Callithrix jacchus: one gene and its partner. The protein of the gene in region 2 purifies or fractionates together with the protein of the main gene of each other region. This does not show direct contact. Links are inferred from orthologs where the notes say so. Each region holds a gene or a part of one and is shown on either strand. Other genes may lie near its edges.

Region 1 (3,500 bases), on a different chromosome or scaffold from region 2:
CTTAGACACATATAAATAAAATAAAGTAGATATAACTATTAATTTTATTCTCTCACAATTATATTAAAATTGATGATGAGCTTTTTTTTCTCCTAGGATATGAATAATGCCAAATTATTTAGTGATGAAGCTGCTAATATATATGAAAGAGCCATAAGCACTTTATTGAAGAAGAATATGCTTCTTTATTTTGCATATGCAGATTATGAAGAGGTAAGTAAAAATATTTAGAGCCTTCTTATAATTCAATTTTTTACTGCAGGACTGAACATTTCTTCTTGCTGCTTTTTTGCCAGGCATATTGCTTTTGGTAGACAGAGATAATTCCAAATGAACAGTTATTCGTTATCAGCTTATACTATATTTATGCTCAGTGGAGATGCCATTAGACGTGGGGGATTATAGCCTTTGGATTCCTTAGAGTTCAAATCCTGCTTATTTATGACCACATGTTAATATTCACTTCTTCTCTACCACCTTAGAGTCGCATGAAGTATGAAAAGGTTCATAGTATATATAACCGACTTCTGGCAATTGAGGATATTGACCCCACCTTGGTGAGTAACTTTACACATCTGTTTTCCTCCTTTACATTCTTATCTAACAAAAAACAATTTAAGTGTATATACAGTAAAATTCACTGTTTTTGTTGTATAGTTCTCGGAATCTTGACAAATAACATTGAGTCATGGGATCATCACCACAATTAAGATAGAAAACATCTCCATCATCCCTCAAAAATTCTCTCATGTGACTTCTTTGTAGATATAACCCTTCTCTCTGCCCTTATCTCTGACATTTGCTGATCTGTCTTCTGTTAGAATTTTTTCTTTTCATTTATTTATTTAATTTTATTTTTTTTGAGACAGAGTCTCACTCTATCGCCCAGGCTGGAGGGCAGTGGCACAATCTAGGCTCACTGCAACCTCCACCTTCTGGGTTCAAGTGATTCTCCTTCCTCAGCCCCTGAGTAGCTGGGATTACAGGTGAGTGCCACCATGCCTGGCTAATTTTTTGTATTTTTAGTAGAGAGGGGGTTTCACCATGTTAGCCAGGATGATCTCAATCTCCTGATACCATGATCTACCCGCCTTGGCCTCCCAAAGTGCTGGGATTACAACCAATATCCTGGGAAGAAATTAGACTGAAAATCACTTTATTCTAAATCCTATTCTATCATAGTGGTTTTCAAAGTCCTGAGTGCAAAAGTGCAGTGGTGCTTTGCCATTGGCAGAGGAAGGGGACAGGCTTGTGGGTGTGTCTAGACCCTCTGCCTCCAGTCAATTATAGCTACACTACTTTTTTTTGTTACTGATTTATATTGGGATTCCACTGCTCTAGTTCCTACATTTATTATTATAATTCTTTCCACAAACGTATCTAGCAAAAATATTGCTGGAGTCTATGCGTTGTGCTAGACTTCAGCAACATAATGACAAACTAGATAAAACTCCTTTTCTTGAGGAACTCATAGTTCATTCATCCATCCATTTATCAATCTATCAAAACTGGACAAACCAGGACCCTACTAATAGTCATTTGTTCATTAAACAAATACTGCTTACTCACGATATGTTAAGACACTCATAGGTGCTGGGTATAAAATGGCTCATTGTTTATCCATGAAGTTCCATTATATGTTGTTTAGAAAATAGAATAGTGGGCTTTTAAAAATAAACCAAGGCTGGGCGAGGTGGCTCACGCCTGTAATCCCAACACTTGGGGAGGCAGAGGCGGGAGGATCACCTGAGGTCAGGAGTTTGAGACCAGCCTGACCAACATGGTGAAACTCTGTCTCTACTAAAATACAAAAATTAGCCAGGTGTAGTGGCGGGCACCTGTAATCTCAGCTACTTGGGAGGCTGAGACGGGAGAATTGCTTGAAACTAAGAGGCAGAGGTTGCAGTGGGCCAATATTGCGCCACTGCACTCCAGCCTGGGCAACAAGAGTGAGACTCCGTCTCAAAAAATAAATTAATTAAAAAAATAAATAAATACAAACCAAGAAAATGAGAAGTTAAACATGTATTGCAAACATGCTTGTATTAAATTAACTCTCGAGACTTTTAGATATTGGCATTCATTAGTGGAGTATGTTCTAGTAGTTTCACACTTTTCCTCTTAACCTTTAATTTTAGAATTAGTGGTGATGATTGCACAACTTTGTGAATATATTTAAAACCACTGAATTGTAGGGCTGGGCATGGTGGCTCACACCTGTAATCCAAGCACTTTGGAGGCCAAGACGGGTGGATCACCTGAGGTCGGGAGTTCAAGACCAGCCTGACCAACATGGTGAAACCCCGTCTTTAAAAACTACAACAACAATAACAACAAAAACCCACTGAATTGTAAAGGGTGAATTTTGTGGTATGTGAATTATATCTCAATAAAAAACAATAGCAAATTAATTTGCTTACATCTCTAATATCTAATATCAGAAAAATTAGCTTGTGGATTTAAATAGCATGTTATCTAAATTCCTACTTTCTAATTTCTTGGGTATTGAGGATTACTTTTTTATACAGGAAACATACTGCCTAATTTGTAAAACACAAATACTTTTTTTTTTTGCATAGGTATATATCCAATATATGAAATTTGCACGGAGAGCAGAAGGCATCAAATCTGGAAGAATGATATTTAAAAAAGCAAGAGAAGATACCAGAACCCGCCACCATGTCTATGTTACTGCAGCACTCATGGAGTATTACTGTAGTAAGGTAAATACTGAAATACAAGTGTAAAGGTAAAACAACTTCCATCATCTGAGACTTGTAAAAGAAAGGTGGTCTTAGTTTCTGTCATTAAGATTTTATTGCTCCATTTTTAAAGACAGCCTAAGTGTATATGTGTAAAATTACACAGAGCATCATCCAAATCCCCAACTGCCTGCTTTTCATGCCTTATTAATCACCACATTTCTGAGCCTAAACTCCTTTAAATAGTTTTTAGCTCAGCAATTTTTACTTAACATGATTTTAATTTCTGCTTTAATTCTTATTTATTTGGTCTTATTTAGGTATAATTTTAATATTCTTATAAGTATTTTATCTGACATTACATGGAAATCAGTACTTTACTTTCTTTACTTGTAGGACAAATCTGTTGCCTTTAAGATTTTTGAGCTGGGGCTAAAAAAGTATGGAGATATTCCAGAGTATGTCCTGGCCTATATTGACTATCTTTCTCACCTCAATGGTAGGTTGATTCTAGAATCTATAATGATTACTTAACATTAAACCATCTGAAATTATGGTGCTTGAGTTTTTCCTTCTTGAATGTATTATAATTTTGACATCATAGCAGACTTGATAGGCACTCAAGAAATACTTGTGTCATATCAACCATGAATATATTTACAGAGCAATGGTAGTTACTTTTTGACTCTGCAGAACTGTTTTTATTTAGTAAAGTACCATCAGTAGTGGGATAAACCTACAAAGTTAGAGTTAGGAGACATAGAGTTGTTTATATTCATCTCTGATGACTCTGGGCAA
Region 2 (3,500 bases):
TTAAAATTTGGCCTTTTTCCTAAATGACCGTATCACAGTATTTGAAATGCCTCTTTCTTCTCTTGCCTGCCATGACCAAGGATTGTTTTTTTTGTGTGTGTGCCATGCAAAAACTGTTGATAAAGAGCCTCTTGAATATTACATTTCTCAGAGGGGAATGGCTTTAAATCACTATCAGTTTCTAAGTCATAAGTATTAAACCTGAATCTGCTTATCTTCTTAGCTCTGTGTCCAGAATAGTCCCCAGGAGGCACGGAACATGTTGCTTCAGAACCCTCAACTGGCTTACGCTTTGCTGCAAGCACAGGTAGTGATGAGAATTGTGGATCCGGAAATTGCCCTGGTGAGTGCTTCTGGTTCTTTTATGGAAATGGTAGGGTAAACCTTGAGTGGGATAGGAACTACCTGATTGCTTTGTTAAACAGATAGCTCATAGGTTTGTCTTTTCACTTTTTAGAAAATTCTACATCGCCAGACAAATATCCCAACGCTGATTGCAGGCAACCCTCAGCCAGTCCATGGTGCTGGGCCTGGCTCAGGATCCAATGTGTCAATGAACCAGCAGAATCCTCAGGCCCCTCAGGCCCAGTCTTTGGTAGGGCTTTATCCCTTAACATTTATTTTATCAGTCTTAGAATATCATTTTCTTTTTAGGAGAATATATTGAAAGAAGAATGGTCAGGAACCAGAGATGATAATTTCAATTTCCAGGCATAAAAGCAATTTCCAGGTTGCAGAGCACATGGCATCTGAATGAATATAGATTCGATTCCAAGTTTGTAAAACAAAGAGATCCTTCCTGTATGCCCTTTTCTTATAAGCTAACTTTGTGTGTATGTGCATGCCTGGCACTGTGGTTGGCACTTCGTTATTCCATACGCATTATCTCATTTAATCCTCAAAGCAACTATATGAGGTTGGCACTCTTATTATCTCCATTCTTACCAATGAAAAAAGTAAAGCTTGCTTTCAAAGCGTGATACAAAACCCTAAAGTCACAACAAATTGATACATTTGAAAACTAAAAAATTTCCATGTAAAGAAAAAGAAATAAATATCAAAGACATGACAAATTGGGAAAAAGTGTTTGCCACACACGTGAGGACAACAGACTAATAAAGAGCCCATAGTCATGCACAGGAATGTTTATTGCCATATTGTAGTGAAAAATTGGAAATGTCCTAAATGTACATCAATGGAAGAATGGAGAGAATGTGTGGTACATTCATCCAGTGAAATACTCTACAACAATTAACTAAACTACACGTATCAACATGAATGACTTTGAAAAACAAAATTCCATACAGTAGTTAAGATGAACTAGGATACATGACATCAACACAAATAACTCCAAAACAATACCATACGGATGTGAAACTAAGTGAATGTGGACATATTCCCGAAATGTAGGATATATGTATCTGCATAAATCCCCAAAATATGTTGAGTGAGTTGCAAAAGAATATATTGAGTATGTAATGATTCATATAAAATTTTAAAACATTAAAAAGAGTCTTAGTGGTCAGCTAAGGAGAAGAGAGCACAGGATGCAGTTGGGGAAGACCATACAGGAGATTGATTTATTTTATTATTTATTTCCTAAGCTGGGTGGCTATTTTCTATATGATTTGTATATCTGTAATTTTTCATACTAAACTTTAAAAGGCCTCCTATAAATTAGTAAGAAAATTACCAATAACCCAGTAGAAAAATGGGAAATGGACATAAATAGTTCACAAAAGCAGAAATGTAAATATATGAAAATGTATTAAACCTCAAGATAATGTAATAAATTATCATTAATATGCATAATGTTAAAAAATAAGATAATGTAAATAGAAACTACAATAAGCTACCATTTTTCATCTCTCAGATTGGCAGAGATACAGGGCAGGGGTCAGCAAACATTTTTCCGTAGATCAGATGGTAAATATTTTTGGCTTTGCAGGCCACAGGATCTGCCACAGCTACTCTGCCATGGTAATATGAAATTAGCCATAGGCAATATGTAAACAAGTGTGTGTGTGGTTGTGTTGCAATACAAGTTTATTTATAAAATCAGGCGGTGAGCCTGATTGGGCCCATGAGCCATAGTTTGCCAACCCCTGCTCTAAATAAATAAATAAATACATTTTCAGAGATAGAAAAAAAAAACCAAGGCCCAGAGAGGTTAGCTGGTCCAAAACTTAGCACAATTATAAGTGGCAAATCTAGTTCTGAGCCTGGTATTATCTGACCTCATAGCCAGTTTTCTCTTAACTACCTTCCTATACAGCTCTTCCGTTTCTTTTGTAGAGTTTTGTGTTCCTTAAACGTGTATGCAATTTTTTTAATATAACGTGGCTTTTATTCTTTATTTATTGAGCTCTTTCTATTTCAAGGGACTACTCAGTTTTTTGGGGAATGCACAGATGAAAAGATGACATTCTCTTTCTCTCAAAGAGTTTTAATGTAGCATTAAAAAAAATTTACATTCCCCCAAAACCAGAATTATATCTAAGGACAGGAATGAGAAAACATTGGTTAAATTTTTTTAAAAATTAATTTTAAAAATGTGGACTACCAGCAGTATTTTTCTTTTTAAGAGTCCTAGTCTCCTTTTTTCTTTCTTGGCTTTAGGGCATTTTTTTTTTTAAACTGTTATTGCCAGACCCCAATCATGAAGTTAACAATAGGTGCTATGTGCTGTCTTGCCACACAGATAAGACTTGTCAATCTCTACATTAAGAATATGTTCCATCTTAACCGTGTTCCATATAACCAGGTTCATGATGTGTATTGCAACTTGCTTCTGTGGAGTTCAAAGTGTGTGACAAATCTAATGCTGCGTAAGACATGCTATACAAAAAGGATGTTTGGTAGACTATTCGGGGCTGTTCATTTGAAGAGGACTTTTAAGGTCATAGACTTAGTATATTGCGTATCCACAGAGGCATGTACATACTCTGTTTTTTTTCTTGGTCAGGGTGGAATGCATGTCAATGGCGCACCTCCTCTGATGCAAGCTTCTATACAGGGTGGAGTTCCAGCACCAGGGCAATTACCAGCATCTGTCACAGGACCTGGCCCTGGTTCCTTAGCTCCTGGAGGTAAGTTTCATTTAGTCTTCACCATTTCAGTACTTGCTAAAGTTTTGTCATAGCCACTGTTTCAGTACAGCCAACTATGATAATGGGATCCTTAAGTAAAATTAATACACAGCTAGAAAGCATATATCCTAGGTGGAGGAAATAGAGTTCTTATGTTAAATCCTATATGTCTAATTATAAGAAGAGGGAGAGGGACAATAAAGCGGAATAACATAGTAAAACTTCCAAGTTAACAAGTGGGAAAATGGAATGAGTGGAAACTAAATCAAGCCAGCAAAAATAGAGAAAAGGAAAAAAGGAAGGGACAATGTAAAATAAGTAATAATAAGTGTAGAGTAAGATGGAAGGAATAAAAACTAATGTTGTTATTCTGCTAAATATGAATGAACTATTAGATTAAGTTCAAAAGCT

What was found.
Region 1: the proteins of CSTF2 (region 2) and CSTF3 fractionate together in Homo sapiens (co-fractionation; 4 studies listed by BioGRID and IntAct, with this or other methods). This does not show direct contact. The link is inferred for Callithrix jacchus from reciprocal best matches to the Homo sapiens genes CSTF2 and CSTF3.

The regions. Positions count from the first base shown.
Region 1 is NC_133511.1:98,475,643-98,479,142, reverse strand, and holds part of CSTF3 (cleavage stimulation factor subunit 3), read left to right. Parts: intron 1-96; coding exon 97-213; intron 214-482; coding exon 483-557; intron 558-2,579; coding exon 2,580-2,723; intron 2,724-3,098; coding exon 3,099-3,201; intron 3,202-3,500. UniProt on the Homo sapiens protein: One of the multiple factors required for polyadenylation and 3'-end cleavage of mammalian pre-mRNAs.
Region 2 is NC_133524.1:97,134,136-97,137,635, forward strand, and holds part of CSTF2 (cleavage stimulation factor subunit 2), read left to right. Parts: intron 1-223; coding exon 224-343; intron 344-457; coding exon 458-595; intron 596-2,965; coding exon 2,966-3,089; intron 3,090-3,500. UniProt on the Homo sapiens protein: One of the multiple factors required for polyadenylation and 3'-end cleavage of mammalian pre-mRNAs. This subunit is directly involved in the binding to pre-mRNAs.